Linked DNA regions of Lepisosteus oculatus. The protein of the gene in region 1 purifies or fractionates together with the protein of each later gene. This does not show direct contact. Links are inferred from orthologs where the notes say so. Each region holds a gene or a part of one and is shown on either strand. Other genes may lie near its edges. The genes, in order: protein arginine N-methyltransferase 8, hnrnpua and ewsr1a.

Region 1 (7,788 bases):
CATTTTCAGTGCATCCACTTATATTACCCAAAAAAAGAATATTTAAATAATATAATGTTATATTTATGACTAGAGTCATGCTCTATAACTGGGGGACACGTTTTTCAGTGAGTATCTTCTGTCATTTTTATAACACAATTATGTTGCCAACAAAGGGAAATTTTGCACACAATCTTTCCATGTATTAGAACATAAGAAGGATTGTAAATGAGAGGAGGTATCTGGGTCTTTCAGCTACTAATTAGTTAGTAGCTAATTAATCTGAAGACTTCGTTCACCAGTTTCTTAAAAGAAGCCAGGGTATCAGCTTTGACAATATCACTACATAGCTTGTTCCATACTCCCACATCCCTTGTGCCACATCAGAATTGCCTCCTGAACTTGCAAGTCAAGTTCCCTTCCAAATACTGTGCACTTATGATCTCTGATTAGTGTATCACTGTTGAGACTCAAAAGGCACCACTGTCACTTTAGGTTGATTTGGAGGATGCTCATTACTTGTTTCCATTCATGTATTCCTAAATTAATATTCATCCATTTTTTTTTCACAAACCCTATGCTAATGAAAATGATTTCACTTTGAAGATTTGGGGGAACAGTAAGGGACTGAAACAACTGGAATAGTTGTTGATAAGCTTCACACTTCTCATTATGTTTCGGCTAGGAAATATAAACACACTTATCCTGCTCTTTTTATGAGTACTGATTAAAGAAGAGCTTTGAACATTTTTAATGGTAGTTTTTTTTACCAATGGAAGCATTTAAGCGATTATCGGAAAATTGTGAAATATTGTTATTGACAAGTCGAAAGCAATACTTCCAATGTTAACAGCCAAAATAATATGAAGAAGGCTTCACAGCCGAAACGTTGTGTTTTCTCTCGTCTCTTTTCAGCATGGAATAAACCTATTACTTGTTCCTTTGCAAAATAATATGAATATTCCAAAAATAAGTACTTTTAATTTTTCTTTGTTTTTTATTGTGTGCTTAGAGCTATTCTTAATAGTTTCTTGGGTCAAACATGGATGTACAAATCCTAATAGTTTGTACAGAGCAAGGGAAAGGTTTTTAAGAGCAAGGCTTTCATTTAGAGTACAGATCTATTTCAACTGCTTCAGAATGAATATCATTAATCATATTATTGACGGATTGCTAAAAATAACTGCCTCAGTGCTTCAAATGTACAGTCAACTGAGTCAAGTCAGATCTGATAACCCACAACTCCTCAGATTTACAATACAAAAAGTAAGGTAGCTGCTCCAGGTGAAACTAGGCACTGTATGATAATGATTTCCTCCTTCTACGCGACGTGTAAATCAGAAGGCCTTATTTAGCCTTTTTATTTAGTAAAATAGCCGGGTGTAACGTTGGTTTTCAGAGATTTAGAAAACTGCAGCTTTTTGAAGCACCAAGGACAGCTCACCCTCACAACTAGTACGTCGTGTGTAATTTAACATAATTAATATTATTATTTAATCTGCATCTTAATATGATTTTAACAAAAACGCCTTCCCCATAGTCGTAAAGGGAAGAATATAGGACACAGGTCTGTTACCTAGGTCAAGGTTTCGCCTAAGGTCTATCCACTGCATTTGCTACATAGAATCACGATGATCCGTTACAGTCTGGAATGGCTGATGAATTTTTAATCACCACGGTTTCTAATTTTGTCTCAGAACAGGAGCATGATAAATGTGTATGTCATTTCTCATGCCATAAACATAATGCAGTCTTTTCCATCCTACCTTTAACTGTTAAATTATACAGATGACCGCAACAACTGACATTGAATAGACATAAGATAATTGTTTACGGAATTTAGCGGGTTTTGTGTTATTTGTTTTCCAGTCCTCTAGCCTATTTAAGAATAAAGCATAATAGCAGAACATACCACTGTTTTGTCAGATTTTCTGAAGTATTTTGACGAAGCTTTTCTCTTACCTACCTCTGGATTCTCGGTCTCCGCCATTTTTCTCCTTAGGAGCAGGCAGCGGGAGGAGTGTTTCATTCCCATAAGAGCCAAAGTGATTTTTTAACTCGATGAGGGTAAAAAAATCAGGTTGATTTTTATTGTTTTAGCTTTTTGACTATTTTGACTTATATATGAGCTTTGAAACAATCTAGTGAGAAATTGTTCAGTAGTAAAAGAAATAAATAGCAAAAATAAACTTAAGTCCCCGAACAAGAGAAACCTCTTTTCCAAGTCAAAAAGATCTTTGAATCCATAGTGCAAAGTTGTCAACGGTGTTGTTCCCTGTGTGTGGATTTGGGATAACTCGCATCACTTGACAGTGATTTTAGACAGGGTCAAAAACACTCCCTTTTCCTCATTCACTACAGTATGCACACAAATTAAAGTGTCTTTAAAATAAACAAGAGCAATTAATATCTCGTAACATCTTCCAATTTGTCTAAAACAGGCTCTTCGTGAAAACTCATTGAGGTTATGCATAAATTCTTACTTTTATGCAATTTTCTCACTGCAAAACGATTGTCTTTTACTAGGTCAGATTTTAGTCATCTCTGTCCCATTTATAAAATCGCAATACATCTGTTGCTTTTTAAAAGTCTGTTGATGATGTTAAACCTTGCAGATATTGCAAGTGTGAACTAGTAAATATAATCTCCTTCAATGATCCCTTTGATGTAGCCTAGTTCTGTACGAGTGACTCGTTTCTGCCATCGCAGTGAGCCAAGCTCTTCGTGATCTTTTATTTGCCGTTTTTCTTATTGATTTCGACTCTTTAGGCACCTGCTTGGTATCGAAAGCCGAACTTCCCTCTGAGTCAGGATTGAAACTTGCGAAGTCAAGCATATAGTCATGGTCAAATAATCCTTCTGTCGCCCTTGCCGTTTAGGAATGCCTCTCTTTAATTGCTGCCTCCCACATTCCTGCTGTTGTTCCACCTTCCCAGCAGATCTTTGCATTGTTGAATATAGAAGTCGAACTCATTTTTGTAGAGTTATATGAGCCAATAGAATTCCCAGCCTTCCTCATCTCTACGCGTTACCAGTGGATCTTAAGCTCTGACAGATCGAGCCCCTTCTGACAAATAAAGGAAGCCGTGCCCTTCGGGTACGCAGCAACCTGCTGGGTGCGTTTCTATTGTACTGTATGTTCCGTGCATTTTTCGCCCTTTTCCCTTAGCGTTCCTACACAAAACTCTCATTTCACATAAAGGAATTAATACGTGGTAATGGCAAAACATGTTGTTTTCTACTTAATGTTGTTTTCTACTTAACGCCGCATTTTATTCTCCGAAGTATGACACAGGTCAATGGCGTACAATACTGAATATTCTGAAATATCCATGCGGTGTATTACGAAATAAGATTATTGCCAAAGCAACATTTGCTTCAGAGATTAGATATGTAGGTCTGAATGTTGATTAAAATATTCATACAGTACATTCATAGTCGTATACAGTACAGCTGAACAAAATAGTATTACAGTTTCATCTATGATGATCATTTTAAGTAACATCATTTCCCCTGTCTCATATCACCGAACAGCTTGAGTATGTGAAAATAAGGAACAGTTAAAAATAACATGTTGTCTAGTTCTCATTTTCACTTTAACAAGGGACTTCTTTGCTAAAAACGCGTTAATTAGCCTTCATTTTCATGAAAAGTCCAGAAACGCTTTGCTTTTATACTGTAGCTCTAGCAATGAAAACCTAAAATATATTTTAATGTAGCAAATTATATGAACAATCAAAGTAGGCATTATTATGGTTGGTCGGCAGGGTGGCGCATTGGTTAGTATAGCTGTTTTGCAGCGCTGGTGTCCTGGGATCAACTCTGGATCTGGGGTGCTATCTGTGGGGAGTTCGCATGTATTCCCTGTGTTCGTGTGTGTTTTGTCTGCGGGCTCCAGTTTCCTTCAATAGTCCAAAGACATAGGCAGCACATACAGTATACTAATACAGTATACTAATTTGGAACGATACAGAGAAGATTAGCATGGCTCGCGCAAGGAAAGACCTTGGGCAAATTGGACAAATTGGGAAAATTGGCCCTGGTGTGAACGCGCGTCTGTGTGTGTGCCCGGCGATGGACTAGCGTCCAGCCCAGGGTATATACCGCCCTGCCCCTGTTGGTTTCCGAGATACCGCCCTGCCCCTGTTGGTTTCCGAGATAGGCTCCGGTTTCCCCGCTGCCTTCACTTGGATGAAACTCGATGTATAGTTGGATTATTAGGATTTTTATTGTGTTTCATGTGATTGTTAAGAATTCGATTTAGCATGTTTTTACAGGTGGCATGCTAAATATTATTTTATGAACACGTGCTTTTCTTGCAAAAATAGACATCAGAAGAACATACTGTAGAAGTCAATTATTTCAGTTGTCGAGACGAAACAAACCTATAAGCGTTTTTATTTTTTGCGTTTTATAGTTCTCAAAAAAATCTATACGAAATTGTATGTCATGTAGCAGGCAGTTGAGGAAAAAACAAGTCATACAGACACCAGCTTTTGCAAGGCTAATCTGAAAAACTATCAACGCTGAAGGTTACCCAAATGCATATCTCTGTGGAGATACAGTATCTTTTAAAATACACAAATTTCCTTTTGATAGTAAAACAATTAAATTAATGCATCTCACAACTGCCTGGTGGATTTTAATGCTTAAGCATACCAATGTGTGCTTCTTCACAATTTTAAGATTAGAAGTTGTGTTTATTTTCAGACAACACCCACCACTGCATCTTCCCACGGTCAGGATTGCATAACACCACTCCGAGGGCAAAATCTCCGTGCGCCGAAATTCTCCAGTTAGAGTGACTTAATCTAACCCACACACTAAGCCCTCTTGCTGTACCGTTCAACTCCCACCCCTTCCCTGGGGGTGAGAGAACTAGCATCACCATCAATACGAGTAGGTTAAGAAACACAAATCGGAATGTTTTCATGCTTATGTAGCATAGCTTCAAGTTAATGTAGAATATGTAGCAGAGTTTTCTATATTATAGTAACGCTTCTGCGTATCGTGTATCTTGGGAAGAGAATGTCATAGTATAATGGTTTATAATCTGGAAATCGTTCAAAAACTAACCTTATTTAATGTGTGAAATAGAATTCTGAGACGCAGAGAGAAAAATAATACACCCAGCGTACTCTTGGAGTAAATTTAAAACTTCAGTTTTAGCTTGGTTTTGGATATACGGCACCTTGCACTTCTAAGAAATTACATCCAGCGAATATCGAACTTTACAAACCTACCCTCACTGCAGATACTGTATACAGTATGACGTCTTGAAGCGAATCCTTGATGTTTTCCAACGCTAGCTACAGCCAAGCCGTTTTACTGTAGATCTTAATCTAAAACGGGTTAAACCACGATTCTCTAGTTCCTTTCACAAATACTAAACCAAAGTGTTTTTTTCTTTTTAAATTCAATTTTAGTAGAACAGATAAAAAAATAGCTGAATTGCCTAAATACTTCCTTTAGACACTGCACATATTTTGTGTTTTAAATGTTTATTGCCGATTTAGAATCGGAAAGTTTGTCACCCCTGAGATTTAAAACAAAACTCCAATTCTGGGTGGAAATTAAAATAACAACTTGCCATTTTTTTTTTACGTTCAGAGATAATGAACCAAGGGAAATTCCTGTATTTTTTTCTATAATATGAAGGAATCAAGAAACTGAAATTATAACATTCATTCCATCTTAACTATGCTGTGTTGTTGAGGATATTGATTATTATAGATGTACAGTAACTGTGCAAACTCAATAGTTAATTGACTGTTGAAAAGTGGCTACCAAATGACTACTACTGTACCTATTGCACATTATTTTCTAATCCATCTTTCGTGACGGTCTAAAGGGTAGACCCAATTCATGTATCCTCAAAATCTTCAAAGCCATTGTGAACCCAAAGGACTTCAGAATCAAAAGTCAAACAAAAATTAGGGGATGCAAAACAAAAGGCTAGGTGGCATTTTTAATGCAAATGATTTTGGTATCATCGAACAAGTTTCCCAGGCATGTCATACTGGCAAGTTTTACTGAGTAAAATATACCGAAGGATATATAGTTAAGAAATGAGAGGTGACAGGTATTATCTAATATAGCAGGTAATATCAGATTTATCTCTATCTAACCAAATGAGATTTGGGCAAGGAGAGAAAGGAGGTCAGGGACTGAGCAGTTGTGATTTCAGAAGGTAGTGTCACGGATGTCAGAAAGGGACGAACCGTGGAATGCCAGGAGAGCGTAAAAGACCCTATGCGAAGCGGCGAGTTGGGGGTTAGCCCAGGCTCAACTGTTCAGAGAATGCCATATAGAAACCTATGCCCTCATGTAGCAGACATGGAGCGAACTGGTGCTAGGCGGGTTTCAGGATATCCGAACGTCAATGCTGAGCGAAGGCAGAATGAAAGACCCGGAAATATATAGCCCCAAAGAGAGAGAAACACCGGAAGGACAGCAAAGAACCGGAAAAGAGAGACAGGACAGAGAAGGAGCACCCTCTGGCTGCAGAGGGCGTGACAGGTAGTACTGTATATGCTGTCACTCCAATCAGGGGCAAGAGTGGAAAATGAATGGGCTCTTGAAGTGGGAGAACGGATACACAGAAAATTTGGCTTTCACAAAGGGGGAGCATAGGGAACAGGAGTGGACGCAGGGAGAAATATGAGACTAAAGAAAGTCAGGAGTGGGGAGGATGAAACAGTGGTAGGCGAGAACTTGAGTTTTGCCCTGGGTGTGTGTGGTAATAGGGAACCAGTGGAGGAACTGCAGTAAGGGTGCAGCATAAACAAAGCAACTTTGAGAAAAGAGAGTAGAATTCTGAATGAGTAGGAGTGCATGGATAGTGTTAGTAGACAGGAAAGATCGAAGAAAGCTGCAGTAGTCTAGACTGGTATGAGCCAGAGCCTGGCTAGAAGCTGTGTTGAAAAGCTAGTACATAAGAGGAAGATTCTGCTGATTGTGCTGTTAAAGAAACAGGAGTGTGATAAAATGTGTATGAAATAGGAGAATGTGGAGGGCAATAAGACTCTGAAGATTCTTAGCAGATGAGGAGAGGAAAGGGGTGAGGTGGAGGAAGTTTGAGAGTCAAGAGGAAATATGATGGAGAGGTCCAGTTTGGAAGAAGAAGAGAAAAGGAAGAAAAGGACATAAGACCTTAAGGACCTGGGTTTAAGATGATGGGAATCCACCGAGGTGACGACACCTGTGTGACAAGAAGATATGTGTAAGTAGCAGCTATGACCATAATAGTGAAGAAAAGAGTGGAATATCTGAGCATCATCAACGCAAAAATAATTTCAGAATCTGTGGAAATTGGTGAGAGAGGTGTTGAGAGAGAACTGAATGGGTCCCTGGGCACAGCTTTGGGAGACCAATGGACAGAGCAAAGAGGACAAAGCAAGTCTTTCCAGAAGATCTGATATTTAGTGGGAGGAGAATCTTATTTGAGCAGTTCCTGAAATATATATGTCAGGAAGTGTTGACAGGTCATTGAGCAGCCACAGTGTCAATAGTGGTAGAAAGACTAAGCAGGATTAAGACTGAGGAGAGGGAGAGAGTAGGAAATGAATCAGTGAGAATCAGTACCAGAGAATTTAATTGATTGTGAGGAGTGAAAGTCAGAATGGAGGGAGTTCATTGCCAAGTGCAGAAAGAAGAAGAAAATGGAGTGGCGGCAGTGAAGCACCTGCTTGAGGGTGTTGGAGAGAAAGGGAAGAAGGCAGACTAAAAAATACTGTAGGTCTGAAGGCCGAGGAGTAAGGGTAGTCGTTTTAAGAGAAGTGGAATGTGGGGCTCTTTAAAAGCTGAAGA
Region 2 (7,068 bases), on another chromosome or scaffold:
TATTACAAATCTCTGAATTATGTTTCCTACAAAAAACAGGATACATTGCGATTTTACTACCTGCATTCTGATTAAAATGTATCATACACCAATGCAATGAAGTATACTGTACCTGTTCAATTATTCTTATAAAATGAACACCAACATATTTCATTTAAAATGACATCAAACAAAATGTCACAATGTGTATAATTACAAGTGATAACGATACTGAAAACGTATCCTTATACTATATAAATTCTATATAAATTCAAAAAATGTTTTTCGTTATCGTGATAGCGGTCACACCCTTGCCGGTGTTAAATCACCCATTGGTTGAAAAGCGCAGGTGAGTAACAAGTGAGGTACAGTACTACAGTACGTTGATACCGATTTATTAACGTCTAGTTAAAATCGATTGAGCGTTGAATACTGCACCTAAAACGCTCCCGTGCTTTGTGACATTTCCATCATAGATACGGTATGTCCCCCACCTCTTACAAATGTGCATACTGTATGTGAAAGCTTTATGTAAAAAAAAGCTCAAATCATTTGCTTGTTAATGAAATTTTATATGCACCAAAAATGTTAACTAACAGCAAAAGATGTATGTGGTTTAAAGCCTGTTCTATTCCCACGAGCAGGCTGACTGTTTCATAACATTATTTAATAAAACAGACTAGATTTATGTTAGAGCAAACTTCCCAGAAAGGCTGAAGCTATGTAACCCCCTGCTTTGGAAAAAGCTTGGTGTGGCGATACCCATTTGTCATTACAAAATACTTTGTTTTATAACAAATATTCATCACGTTTAACTAAACGTAAACATGACGTTTAAAGATAAAACCTATGTTGTATCTGCCTTTGCCGCTCTGAGATCTATGGGTTCTTTCCATTGAAAAATTAGAAAAGCAATTCGCGAAATGCATCGTTTATCTGTTGCCCAAACCTCACATCCACCGTCTTGTTGGACTCGTGGTCAAACACGTCAAAAGCGCCGCTGATCTTTTTCTGAACAGCAGCAAGTATTGCGTCTAAAAGGCAAAAATAAAATGTGCCAACAAGCTTTAATTTGAAGTAGTCTCAGTTCTACCTGCAGTACAAAACCTTCAAAGTCCAATAATACATACCAAAATGACTACAGTTATGTGAAGAGGAGTCATTTTAAATAATAAACTACTTTTGTTTAAACAATGCAGACTACAGTAGTCAAAAAGCAAAACGACTGAAGGAATCGTAAGATTTACGTCTGTAATCATATGGTTTAATCATATGGCTGGTTGTTCATCTCATTTCATCGCGAAATAGAACCTAATCGAACTTTCTATTAAATTAACAACACTGTACATGTGACTAATTATTGCTACTGCTTTCTACTGATAGACCCTCAACAGTTTGAAAGTTGAGTGTGGGGTAGACAATAAAACATAATCGTTTTTACGTTCCTTCTAATGTGCCTGTCAAAACAATCGTCTGATCAGTAAAAATAGGTACAGTACTCAGAACGGTTTGCTCAGTAAAACTAAGTACACTACTAAACAAGATTTTACTTAGTGAAGTTTGCAGGTAACGTTTATGTGAATCTGCATGACCTACGTTATCATGTCTTTCGCAGACACTTATTTGTACATTTATAAAATTAATCAAAAATGTATTTTTCGGAGAAGGTCAAACATGCTACATGCTTGAAAGTATTTTATAACAAAAAACTAAAGATCGGTAGTGGTGCTACAATACCTGCGGTATCCTTGTCTTCCGCCATGTTTCACTGCTCTTCCAGTTGCTAGGAGACCTAATGCTATCCCAACTCCCCTCAAGACTTCAGTTGTAGCAACTTTACTTTTGGATCCTTAAAACATGCTCTATGCAATTAGTAAACTGTACGGTACATTGGCATCTGCAATAACAATAAAAAAAGTTTTCCAGGATATGTATCTAAATACGTTCTACTGAAAGTTAAAATAATGTATCAATACGAATGTAAATATGGTGCACGACTGATTTCTTCAAAAATTGAGAAATTTAAACAATGATACCAACGAAGGTATTTATAATTTCCAACACGACGTTTTAGTAAAGGAAATTAATTCTAAACAGTATATTTCTTCGAAAGAAAATATGTCTGCTGTTCAAATTTATGAGGACAAATTAATTGAACTATGTAAATAAAATAATCACCTTATTTAAATATGTTAGCAATTGATATTTTAAGATACATTCATAAATTCAGTTAAATAGTTTTTGATGTACATTTGGGCTAATGTTGTTAGAATATGGAATATTTCCCCATTGAATGACAACTGTAGGACAAAATTCACAAATACTTTTTAATTCATATTTTAAGCTGCCTTGTGTGGCAATGTATTGATTTTCTGATACTTATTTATACTTGAAATGTCACATAAACACTTGTCTGTTGTGACAATTTACCAGTTTCCAGTTACCAGTATTGGTTTGTCTCTTTGAATGCATCAAACAGAAACTACACAAACATTAAAGTTTCTGATAAATTTGCATTCTAGTTTAATGAAATGTGCAACACTGACCCACACATTGTGTAAATCATATACTTTTCTGTTCTACTCAAGACGTTTTTCACTTCAGTAACTAAACTTATTTTAGTTGACTTTGAAGGGATTTGGATATGTTAGCAAATACTGTATAATGTCTGTACACCTTCATATGAAAATGTTCATGGTAGTATTCCATTATTCAATGTTTGAAGTGAAACAGTTGTATGGTGTGTTGAGGTGGTGCTGGGGCCATTGGTTCAGTTCCTTGGGTGCTATCTGTGTGGAGTTTGTATGTTCTCCCTGTGTTCAAATGAGTTTCCTTTAAGTTCTCCAGTTTCATCCCACAGTCCAAAGACATACTGGGAGGTTAATTGGCTTCAGGGAGAATGGACTCTGTTGTTGTAAGTGTGTGTTTGTTTGTATCTATGATTCATCCTATAATTGACTTCTGTCCAGTCCAGGGTGTACCCTACCTTTCCCTGTTGCTTGTCAGGATGGGCTCCAGCCCCCCCACACAACCCTGAAGTGGATGAAGTGTTTGGTTGTCTGTGTTTCTCTAAAAGCCCATTGGCAATACTAAGAACAAACCTCTCAAGTATGAAATCCCCTTGAGCTCAGTCCCTGTACAGAGATAATTCAGTGCAGCCAAAGAAACCCAACCTGAATGGTGGAAGGTGGGAGGAAACAAGAACACTCTGCAAAACTCCAAGTGCACACGGAGGAACCATGCAAACTCCACACAGACAGATGCTCCCAAATGGAATTCAACTCAGAACCTTGGAGTAACGAAGCAGTACTGCTAACCACCATGTTATGTATGTGAGTGAAAATAATAGAAAATATCATCTTCTTGTAAGCAAGTTGTTATCTGTCAACATAATTTGACAACGTTTCTTTGCCTCATCTGATGAAGTATATATGGACCACTAAAATGCAGACAAGCGGAGGATTGGGGAGCACTGCTTGTTCCCCCAAAACTATTACGCTGCATTATGCAGAATAACACGCGCAAATGGTCTTCTCGTGTTTTTTTTTTATTTGTTATTGTACATTGCATAGCTACAACATTGCACTATTTCTTTCTTTTCTGTACATTGCGAAATACATGTGGCCCTTGGTGAAATTCGCTTAGAATATGTTGTGCTTCACAGAAACATCAAGGAACAATCGCACTTTCCTAATATCTCTGCTCTGCAAAAAAAAAAAATGTAGAATTTAAAATACTTTCGGCTTTTTATCTTGGATCACTTTGCACACGATCGTGCATTCTTACTGGACCATGCACTGATATTAGAAAAGCCTCAGAATTAAAACGCTAATAAACTCCGGTTTGCTGTTTTACTAAGCACAACAGATTTGTTTCTTAACTTTTAATACATTTCTAACAAAAGCTAAAAATATGCAGGCATAACACTGTACCAAATGAAACTGTCGTCGCAGTTGTCGGCTAATTACGGTAGTCACCGCCCAATTTCTCCCTCCTTTCGCATGAATACGGTAAGAGTGTATTACGTACAACTGGCGCTAGATAGCCGCGCAGCTGCCAGTGGGAGAGACGCACAGAGAGGGACGAGCGTTGTTTGGCGCAGTAGAAATTCTAGGCGGCTTTGCTTTCTCTGTATCACTTTGTCTACAGGGCTTTCTTTTAAAAAAAAAAATATTTGTATATCCCCGAGCTTCGAGCGGAAATCCAACGGGAAAAATGAGTGCAATCAACGTAAAGAAGCTAAAGGTAAACGAATTGAAGGACGAGCTGAAAAAGCGCCGGCTCTCTGACAAGGGGCTGAAGGCCGAGCTGATGGACCGGCTGCAGGCCGCACTCGACGAGGAGGCCAAAGCCGGTGGCGCTTTCACCGGGCCCGGAGGCGAGGAGAACGGGGCCGAGGGGGGATCGGATGGGGCGGGCGGCTTCGATGAGATGGGCGACGAGCTGGAGGACGATCTGGCCGGCGAGAGCATGGAGGCCGAGGAGGAGGAAGACGGGGGCGAAGCGGACGCAGCAGAAGTCGAAGCTGAAGCCGAAGCCGAAACCACTGCCGCCGCCGCCGCCGCCGCCACAGCTGCTGCTGCTCCTGCTGCTCCGGGCGGTGGCGCAGATGTCGGCGGGCAGGATGATGAGATGGGGGAGGAAGAGGAGGAAGACGCGGGAGTCGAAATGGATAAATCCGAGGATGATGAAGATGCCGGGATAGAAATGGACAAATTCGAAGAGGAAGATGGGGCACCAGGATCGCAGCCCGCTGAAGGTTAGTCCCCATCTTAACTAAGACCCGAAACATCACGTGTTTACGCCAGCCCTGCCGGTCGGAGCAGAAGGCGCAATTGATGGCTGTTACTTAACAATACGGGCCAAACAATTGTTAGACGTGCTTCGATAGGGGCCTTGTCTTCGGACACGAAGGCGCAGTTTGGGCGTTCGTTTTTTTTCTCTTCTTTTTCTGCAAACGCGTTTTGGAGGTCAGACGCGAATGACGCGGGGTGCTATTTGTGGTTTTGTCGGCGCTTTCCAGACAAAGATCCACATGGTGCTGCCAGGCGAGATGAAATGGTGGCCCTGGTCGGAGGCGGCGGCGGCGGCGGCGACTCGCCTCGCCTCCATTGTTCTGTGGGCGACGGGCCGGGCCTGCGGATGTGTATCTGTCTCGGCTTTAGCTGTGTCCCCCCGCGACGTCTCGGATGTTCCTCCAGCTCTCTTCCCCGCGGTTGCCTGTCGTGTGCGCTTCAGTCTGACATTGCTCAAGCCGTGTCGGGCCTAGTCCTTCCGTTCCGTGCCTTCCTGTAGTGGCAGGACTTTACTGTACTTTCGTTTTTGTTTTGTCGGCTGTAAGTTTTCGGAGGCTTTTTTTTTGTTTGTTTTGGACGATTTGTTTGAGAGATTTAGACTGGTTTGAGGCGTCATATTCCCGCCGGACTGATTTTTTTTATTTTTAAATCTGTGCCTTTGAACGGTTAGTGGGCAGTAGCGGTTTTGAAAAATGATAGGGAAGGTTAAAATCCGATTTTATCAACGTGTACAGCGCTTATTGCCCACGTATTTCAGACGCAGTCTGAACTGGGAATCGGGTCTATTTATTGGGAAAACCAGGCTGGAGCTTTTAACGGCGAGAAAGGTCTCAATTTGCAAATATTTCCTGGGAGAAAGTAAACTTGAAATGCGTTGTTTGTAGTAAATGCCGTGTACATTGACCGGCATGGAGAGCAACGATGGTGTGGGGGGGAGGAGGAATGTTCATAAAGCTTGGAAAAAAATGTCTTTACAATTTTGGTCTTCTCTGTCACAAAAAAAGACCAAACGCGCTGTAGTCTTAACAAAAACATGCAGCAGTTTGTGGCCGCCATGTAACAATTCGGCTCAAACGCTGAGGTATCCCTCTTCATGTTGTGTTTTATTTTTCAAAGGAGACGCTGATAAAGACAAGAAAGGTGAACAGAAGAATAAGAAGGGTGTAAAGAGACGCCGTGAAGAACATGGAAGGGGCTACTTTGAATTTATCGAAGAAAGCAAATACAGCCGGTAAGGACCATGGTGGCCTTCGCTAAATCTGAAGTGCCACCGCGTAAGTGAATGGCTCACGGATTCACGGATGCCCCTGGGTCTCCTCTGTAAAAGGGGTAACAAAGAAAAGCCGAGGAGACCAGAGCAGCTGGGCAGGGTGGGGGTGGGGGCGGGGGCTCAGCTCGCATAATGTAGGGTTTCTGCTAGAAGGACGTCTGCCCTTTGGGTCTTCGGTTAGTGTATTTGGGGGGTAATAGTCTTATCTAAACAGTTTCACTTACATTGAGTCATCTGCAGATTAAGTAGTGGGGAGCGAAGGGTTTATTTTTTGCTTTAAGAATATCGATCTGTTCTTGAGGATGCAGGCGACTAAAATGGCGCGTTTATCCATGCTTTTCATCTAGGCATTTCTGACGGACCTTGAGTTTTGACATGCAACCCCTTTCGAGAACGCAGTTCATTATAGTTTCAGCGTCACCGTCAAATTCCTGCGCATCGTTAGAAATTGAATTTGTCGCTTTAAAGAGGAATGGGGATGAGACGTTTCGATCGTTTACAAATCTGAGAAGTTTTTTTTAAACTCGAGATGTCGATTTTGTCGTCTTTGGTTCAGATTAGGTTGCTTAACCAGAACGTTTTTGCTTTTCTTTGATGGACGTATGTTTGTGAAAGTGCGGAACTAACAATCAGCTTTTCTTAAACATGTATTTAATTATGTGGCTGTCTTCGTTTTAATCCTTCGTGTTCTTTGCGATGTGGAAGCCTACGTCTTAAAACATCATCTTCATTTAACTGTCTTAATGTAGGGGTCAGTAATTCAAAGGTAGGGTAATTCATTTTGTATTTCTATCCCATTTGATAAATGTGTCTGTTTCTTTAAAATTGGGGTTAATTTTAATTTCAGATCACAAGAGATTTTAACTGTGGCATGAAAAGCAGGCCATGTTGAGTATTTTTATACTCATTTATATTCTCATTTATGCAATGCCTGATTTGAGAAGCATGCACATCAGAATTTTGTAGTGTTTTAGAATGTTTACCTGTCTCACAATGGGGCTATTGGAGCTTTAAAATACATTT
Region 3 (8,023 bases), on another chromosome or scaffold:
GGTGATGGAAATTAATGCTAAAGCTGTCGGCTCTATTCTCTAATAATGAAATGGTAGGAACACTTTAATCCTGGAACCTTAAAATGCACTTTCCTGTATAGTCTTAAAGACAGCATATTATCATTTGGCTCTATATTTGCGGAGTCTTCAACTCTTGGCTACAATGAAGATATGTAGACTGTTCTGATAGATGAAATGTTGTAGCTTCAAAATACACTACATGATTTATCAGGTCAATTAAACACAGGTCATCCTGAATCACCTGGGCCTACGTCTAAAAACTGGGAACAATTACTGGGCAAATCTTAATTCAAGGATCTTTGGCTCTTGATGCCTAACTTATTTATAATTGTGCTATAAAAGTCTGCTAAAAATCTTATCACAATTACAATATTCTACAGTTTTACAAACATAATTTAGGAGAAAACTACAAAACCTCTTGTGCTGGACCTCTGCAGAACTAGGAATGGAAGACCCTCAGGTAAAGCCTGTCAATAGCATTACACAGTTGTGGGCCATAATGAGTTTACATAAACTGGACTACAACTGTTTTTCAAACAGGGCATTTGAGAAAATTACCTGCTCAGGTTTCAGAGCATAGAAAGCAATGTACACAGTACATTACAGTTGTGGCAACAGCCATATACACGTTAAACTACCAGTCACTGCATGTTTGTGGAATAGTTTTAGATAATATCATGAATTCTAAATAAAGCACATTTAGAATCCAATATAAAGCCTTTACAAAAACACATATTTGGGATTAGACATATGTAATTTAAAACACTTGTATATTCTGCAAGAAAACCTAGAAAGACAGGAGAATTACAAAAGAGTCTGCTGTCTGTATTGGAATTTGAAGACCAAATTAATACAACTCTAACCAAGATGCAAATGCCTAACAGTGTCAAGCACTGTAAAGACAAAAAAACTGAAGGGAAAAGCAAGGCTTAAACATCACTAGCATTAAGTTCTGCAGACTTTTTAAAATAATCTCATCATGTTTAGTTATAGTCAAATTCCAAGGGTATTTCACATATACAAACGACTGTATTCACTCATGTAGCAGTTATGGCATGTTTGAATAGGAAAGCTAGGAGCATTGTGAGCTTACAAACAATGGCCACAGGATTAGCTAGAAGCTACAGACATTGTTGGGCAAGAACAAACAACTATCAAAACCATGAAACAGCACATCCTTTGTAAACACTGAAACAACAGCCTCAATGATCACTTCAGCTCTGTGGAGAGATAGGGATCCCAGAGTGCAACGTCCAGTAAAATAACACAGGGCTAGTCTTCCAGTTGGACAACAGGGGACAAAGTTCACACACAGCCCACAGACACTTGAAGGCAACACAGCACTAAGCATCCCAAGCCTGTGAAAGGAGGAATTATACTTTAAGGTATAGAGGGTATAGTACAGATCGAAGATGGCGTGAAAGTGCACACAGGTACAAGGACAACTCAGGTATGCAGCAGCTGAACACAAATGCAGCAGGATATCACTAGCTACAATTTAGGAAAATTAAAAATAAGATACATTAAGGCCTTAACAGCAGTAGAAGCCCGAATATCACAGGTTCAAAACCAAGCCTTTCTCAGACAAAATAACTGCGTGCAGTTTTGTCCTTCGCATTCCCCATCACCTCACCACGCACAGCGGGCTGAGGGAACACCGTCACGCTAAAAAACAAACAAACCCAAGTCGCGGAGTCGCGTCGATACAGCTCGGATACCTTGCTCAAAATGCAATTTTTTCTTTTTTTAAAAAAGAAGTTTGATATCTGACGCACTTCTCCACTGCAAAAAAAAGGGGGTCCATCGCGATATTAATAATAATAATAATAATAATAAGCGTTTACCAAGCACCTGGGGGGTTTGAGCGAAGGCCATCCCCACAACAACACCTACAGCTGCGCCCCAACAGGAGTGTGGGCAGCCGTGTGACCCCGGCAGGGCCTGGGCATGCAGCTGGCGCTGCAGCGCGGAGGAGGAGGAGGAGGAAGAGGAGGAGGTCGCCATAGCAGCGTTTTTACAACAAGCCGGCGGCGTCTGACAGCCCCGCATGGCGCAGGAGCCGCTCGGGAAAACACCCGCGATCCGGCAGGCCGGAACACCCCACACACGCCCAGGGGGCTGCGTGCACTCCGATTATGGCGAGTTTTGTTTTTGGGGGTGGGGGTAAGGGAGTAAACAACAACAACAACCACATCTGGCCCTCGGACTCGCGAAGGTGTGAAGAACGAGGCGCCCCCACGAACAGCTCAGCTAGATCCCCCCAAACACGCCATTCAAGCGCTTGTAACGCTGGACCGCCCGCCCTGCCGCTGTACAACCGCCAGATATGCACGCCTCATTTCGGCTTGCCCGCTCTCCGTCAGGGTAGCGGGAGGTCCCCTCCTCCGTCGCGGCCAGGGTGTCTCCACTCTCAGAAGGCCGCGACCGCGGCCACCCCGTCCGCTTCACCTCGCACCGGCGAGCACCGCTGTCTCCGGACGCGATCAAGCGACCGTGCACACCGCGCACGAAAATACGGAGGCAAAAATACATTTTAACAAATAAAACGCACTCTTTTTTTTGGGGGGGGGGGGGTTACGCCGCCCGACGGAAGAGATGCGCTTGGTTTAATTGATTAGTTTTGAACACCGGCCACAAGGCAACAGTTGTCCTTCCGTACGCTGCAAATCCAGCCCCTTCACGGACAAAATATGAGGGGGAAAAAAAAACGATCCCGTCTTATGGCACCGAGGAAAAGGCGTTTCTGCAGAGGCCGATGCAACCGGCGCAGAACCCTGAAATTCAAAAGTATTCCAACTAAATGGGGATGTACGTCCACCCCATCCCCCAATACTGCAATTATCTCGCTTTCACAGCCTAAACACCGCCACAAGGGGACGGGGAGCATGCTGCAGTGCGTGCCATCTAGTAACAGCGGTCAGATCTGTTTGCCATTTTCACCAAAATATATATATAAAACCGAGTAATAAATCGAAACGGCTTCCCCGCCGCCCTCACCAGCTGCTGACGCCATTTCGTGTGTCCTCTGTGAGTGTTCCTGGCGCGCATGCGCGAAGAGGGGCTTAAGCCTCTACCAACTCTCACCGTCGTAGGAGGAGGAGAAGAAGCAAAAAAATCCGATCCATTTGGAAAGTTTAGGATCCATTCACGTAATAACGCGATTTAGTTCTTGTGGGTAAATTATTTATTTATGGTCAGTGATTTTTTTTCCATACGCTGGGTTTTAGGGAACTCGAACTCACTTCGAAAATGGTACATTCTAGTTGGTCACCCCCCCCCCCCCACATGACGTAAAAAGCATGCTAGGGACCGTCTCAAAATTTTTCAATGAGAAGAAAAATTCAATACGATGAAACACAAACAGGTGACAATTCAACACAGAGCAATCCTGCCCTGCGAGTAATTATTTTAATCTGAGACTCACGGTGCTCTTTGTGCACATCTTGTAGATGGAGGACAAGGTTAGTCATATATTTTTGACTGGTACGCCTTGCAGAATTGGTTCTCACACAGAATTCTCATTCAATAACCTTTTTTACCAACAGGTGAGTGGAGTTCCCATGGGCACCAGAATGGGACCCCGCTATGCCAATATTTTTGTCGGCTGGGTAGAAGATTGTCTCTTCGCTTCCTACACTGGCTATGTCCCTGACCTCTGCAAGCGATACATTGATGACTGCGTCGGTGCTGCCACATGCTCCAACGATCAGCTTGAGTTCTTCCTGCATCATTTCACCAACTTCCACCCGTCCCTCAAATATACAGTTAACATATCTTCCTCTACTCTTTCGTTTCTAGACATCAACTTCTCCGTCAACTACCCCCGACTCTCCACTTCGGTTTATTACAAACCCACAGATTCACACGGCTATCTCCTGTACAGCTCATTTCACCCCAAACACACTAAAAACTCTCTTCCCTTTTCACAGTTCCTTCGGCTACGATGATTATGCAGCGACGACACCGACTTCCAGAACCAAGCCCTCAAAATGTGCTCCTTTTTCATCAGCAGAGGATATCCCAGCAGTGTGATTGACGGGGCCCTCGCCCGAGCCAAAAACACCCCTCAGACCATCAGCTCAATCAGGAACCCCCGCCGTAACAACCGCATACCTTTGTGCTTCCCTACCGCCCCGACACTGTCTATCCCCAAGACCATTAGCAACAACTTTTCCAGCCTACAGGATGATCCCTCCATTGGGGCCCTCTTTTCTGACCACCCATCATCTCGTATCGCTGACCACCTAATCTGCGCAACCTTCTTGTTCACAGCTCCCTTGACTGCCCTCAGCACCCATCCACACCAGGCACTTTCCCCTGCAACTGAGCTGTCTGTCCCCTCCTCTCTCCCAGCTCTTGTTCTCCTGCTACATTACCTCTGCCTACTGCCCTGTCGTTCTCACACCTGAAGAAGGCTCCACGGCCGAAACGTTGTGTGTTTTCTTTCTTCTCTATTCAGCATGGAATAAACCTATTACTTGTTCAATTGCAACCTACGCGTGCTGGCGCAGCTACCCTCCTGAACTACTCTTGACTTTTACTTGTGTTCATCGGATAACAAGCTCGTCAGGTCTAGTGTTCAGTTTTGTGATGGTCCCTAACTCTAGGATGTGCGGTTCGGGGAAGTTTAGTACTTTTTCCTAATATGCTTCGTCGTGGCTGAAATGAAATAGGGTTTTATTTGTAAATTATGGGTTGACAATGCGGTGGTTCACTAAACCTTCAGAGAGAGTCCTGAATATCGCAGACACGGTATTGCACGAACCATTTATTGAACTCGACTGTTTCAGTTTCGACGAAATTGGTGGTGAGGGGACTCTTAGCCGGTGAAAGCCTTCAGGTGTTGATTTCATACTGAAAGTAAGGCGGGGGAAGAGGCACCTGGCGCTTGACAGAATGGGCGGACAGATGACTTGCGATGCTTAGCCGGTTCCCCTCGTTCTGGTCTCGGCTTGGGTCGAACCGGTCCGGGTTTCCAGCCGGCACCGCCGGGTTGCTCGGTGCCGTACTGGTTACTTGGCTCAGCGGAGCGTACGACACTCTGTACCTCGACTCGGAAAAAGTGTTACCTGGATTGCAAGGTGAGTCCGCCCAGGGGTGCATTCGTGCAGCAGGCGGTAGGTACAGGCGCACCTGCACCGTTCTCTTTCACAGGAACACGAGGGTGTCTCCTGCCTAGCAGCTGCTGAGGAAATTAAATATAGAATTAATATATAAAATACTAGATCTATCATTACAGCATACATTTCTATATAAATCTAAACAAATAACGGAAGGGTTGTTTTAGGTTTTTAGATGTAACTGCATGTAGCAATAGATGGGTTTTGATAACACACAGCAAGTGTAGGAAACAATATACGTTTTCTTAATGATCTTGGAAGAGTTATCCCACAGTCTACCCTGCCAGCGGGACCTGGCGTTAACTCCCTTTGTCCGTTGCTTTGTCTTGGAGTTCACCGCCTGTGGACCTACGCCTTCTGCCACCAGGACCCTGCGGCCCTGCTCCTCAGCAGCGCCGCCCTGCTGGCGCTGGGGCCGGCGCAGGAGCGGCGCTGGGGCAGCGCGTGCTTCCTGGCCCTGTCCCTGCTCTCCTGCTGCCTGCCGGCCCTGCTGTACTGTGTCCTGGCGCGGCTGGGGGCCGGCGGGGCGGGGCGGGTGGGCGGCTACTCGCCGGTCCACTTCGCCATGCTGGCTGCCCAGTGCCGCCTGGGCCAGCAGGGACGAGCCCGTCGCTGGCTCCCGGCCTGGGCCCTGCCCTGGGCTCTCCTGGCCGGCAGCTGCTTGCTGGTGCCGGCCTCCCTCGCCCTGCTCCACCTGTGCGCGGTCTGCGTGGGATTCAGTTGTATCCTTGTGGGAATCTGCTGCTCTGCCCCTCGTGGAGCAGGCTTGTACACGGCCCTTCTTTAAGACTTTATTTCCACAGTGCTTATTTTGCACCATTATTGCTGTTCTCCAGATTTTAAAGAGCCGTGATCTTTGCTTAAGACTCTTTTTCACTGCGGATGTTACAGATCCCGGATGTCACCCATCTGTCCATTTTCCAAGCTCTTTATCCAGTCCAGGGCCACAGGGGAGCCGGAGCCGATCCCAGCAAGCAGCGGGACGGCAGACTGTTATACCAGTCGGTTGCTCCCTACTGGCTGACACTTTGTACCACAGAACTGAATCTGACTGGCTGGCCCAAAACCCTGTAACCTGTGAGGAAAAATCATTAACAAATGAAAGTCTGTGATACTTGATTTCCTTCACTGTGGACTCTCAGATAGCTCGGCCTTTCTCAAGTGGCTGCAGAAAGGAGAAGACCATCTCTGTCGTCTTCTCCCACGCAGGGCCTTTGTGCTTTCCTCTTATAGAGACAGTCTTCCCGTGAGCTGCACGGGTCAAAGGTAGGAACGACTGAAGCCCAGGGTGCGAAACACTCTGTAAGGAACCCTGCATGTGTCTGCATCTCCTCTTGGGAGCTGGTCGGTCATTTTGAGGTTGGACGCTGCTGAGCATGACAAGGTGAATCTGAGACATCTGTGCACCCAAAGAAGATGGATCTTCTCATAAAATACTAATAACTTAGATTCACAGCCGGTGCTCCACTCTACGTTTAATACATTAGACCGTAGAGAGCTCAGATAATCAGGTTGAATACTGACGTTACTTCATTCTTCCTTCTCCCTGGGTTTCTTTGACCTGGGGAGACAGTAAGGGTTGGGTTGTGTCATGGAATCCAGCCCTTATTCCAATTGTGTCGTGACGCATGTGTTACAGACCTGATCCGTGGGCAGAGCCGTCCTCTGCCAGGCAGCTGGAGCCCTTGCAGAGGTCCCAGTGGGAGGAGTATGACATGCGGCCTGAGCCCTGGAAATCCCAGGAACCTGACTGGGCAGCAGGAGAGGTGCCGGCTGTCTCCGAGGTCCAGCTCTTGGAAGAGCAGCTGCTGAGAGCAGGGATCCTGGCCTCTCTGCAGGACGCTCCTGAGGGATCCGTCGAGAAACTGGAGCTGCCCAAATCTTCAGTGTCATCTCTGCGGTGAGTCACCGAAACCTGTGTTCTGGGAACGCAGAGGTCAGTGCCCTTCTGACACGCAGGGCTAATGCTAAAGGAAACTACCCCAGTTTTTTACATTCTGGTCTAATCTGCATAGGTAATCCTCAACCCCAGAGTACTGGTTTGAAGTGTGTAGTGGTCGTTTTTATTGAAAGAGGTTGACTCGGTAATTCACCAATCAAATTAAATAAGGTCACGTATGTAAAAGAACTGAAACCAAAACAGATGAGGTTGTGTGGAAAGAAGTCTGAACTTGAACATGCTAGTTTGCACAAAAAAATACCCTACGTCCAGGGTTGTCAGTGTGCATGAAACAGGTCAAACACAGGAATATTTAGAGACTGCAGTCCTGTCTGTCACAGGTCATGTCATATTCATGCAGGTGGAATTAACATATGTCTTGGGTTTTCAAGAACAGTGGAGTACCACTGCTATGGTTGTGAAGTGCAGTGCTTTAGGTGGCAGCTAAGTTAATGGTCAAGAGTGAGAAAGTTCTAAGTAGGTCAGTGTAGCATTTAAAAACTCGAAGGAAAAGGAATAGAAACCAGAAGATACTGTGAGCCTTAAGGTTTTGTGACTCATGTTTTGGAATTAGCATTCTGTGAAAAAATGTTATATCTGAGTCATATTTGGAGGCTTTGTGCTTCCATTGGGGATTTAGATGCGTTCTCTTTGATATAGGGCCTAATGGAGATATTCTCTTGGTGTTGGTATGTGGACATGTTTGTGTTTTTCCTTTGAGTCCGACCGTAAAAATGACATTTTGCTAAATGCATGGTTTTCTTGTCTGTTGTCTCGGAAACAAGCCGTGTGTTATACCTAAATACTTTCTTAAAAGACATGTTTGTGAGGGAGGCATGGTGGTGCAGTCTTTAGCATTGCTGCCTCGCAGTGCTGGGGCCCTGGGGTCAGTTTCTGGGGTGCTGTCTGCGTGGAGTCTGTATGTTCCCACTGTGTTCCCATG

Evidence for each region.
Region 2: the proteins of protein arginine N-methyltransferase 8 (region 1) and hnrnpua purify together in Homo sapiens (affinity purification with mass spectrometry; 3 studies listed by BioGRID and IntAct, counting the BioPlex papers as one, with this or other methods). This does not show direct contact. The link is inferred for Lepisosteus oculatus from reciprocal best matches to the Homo sapiens genes PRMT8 and HNRNPU.
Region 3: the proteins of protein arginine N-methyltransferase 8 (region 1) and ewsr1a purify together in Homo sapiens (affinity purification with mass spectrometry; 3 studies listed by BioGRID and IntAct, counting the BioPlex papers as one, with this or other methods). This does not show direct contact. The link is inferred for Lepisosteus oculatus from reciprocal best matches to the Homo sapiens genes PRMT8 and EWSR1.

Annotation. Positions count from the first base shown.
Region 1 is NC_090702.1:12,133,347-12,141,134, forward strand, and holds the start of protein arginine N-methyltransferase 8, read right to left. Parts: upstream 3,030-7,788; 5' UTR 2,816-3,029; coding exon of another isoform or gene 2,753-2,815; 5' UTR 2,015-2,752; coding exon 1,946-2,014; exon of another isoform or gene 1,942-1,945; intron 1-1,941. UniProt on the Homo sapiens protein: S-adenosyl-L-methionine-dependent and membrane-associated arginine methyltransferase that can both catalyze the formation of omega-N monomethylarginine (MMA) and asymmetrical dimethylarginine (aDMA) in proteins such as NIFK, myelin basic protein, histone H4, H2A and H2A/H2B dimer.
Region 2 is NC_090697.1:23,072,022-23,079,089, reverse strand, and holds the start of hnrnpua (heterogeneous nuclear ribonucleoprotein U), read left to right. Parts: upstream 1-4,021; 5' UTR 4,022-4,194; coding exon 4,195-4,738; intron 4,739-5,891; coding exon 5,892-6,006; intron 6,007-7,068. Other genes in the region: efcab2 (dynein regulatory complex protein 8), read right to left, coding at 929-1,013, 1,717-1,741. UniProt on the Homo sapiens protein: DNA- and RNA-binding protein involved in several cellular processes such as nuclear chromatin organization, telomere-length regulation, transcription, mRNA alternative splicing and stability, Xist-mediated transcriptional silencing and mitotic cell progression.
Region 3 is NC_090717.1:13,479,229-13,487,251, forward strand, and holds the start of ewsr1a (RNA-binding protein EWS), read right to left. Parts: upstream 3,069-8,023; 5' UTR 3,035-3,068; coding exon 3,019-3,034; intron 1-3,018. Other genes in the region: rhbdd3 (rhomboid domain-containing protein 3), read left to right, coding at 4,940-5,102, 5,474-5,863, 6,284-6,407, 6,781-7,041. UniProt on the Homo sapiens protein: Binds to ssRNA containing the consensus sequence 5'-AGGUAA-3'. Might normally function as a transcriptional repressor. EWS-fusion-proteins (EFPS) may play a role in the tumorigenic process.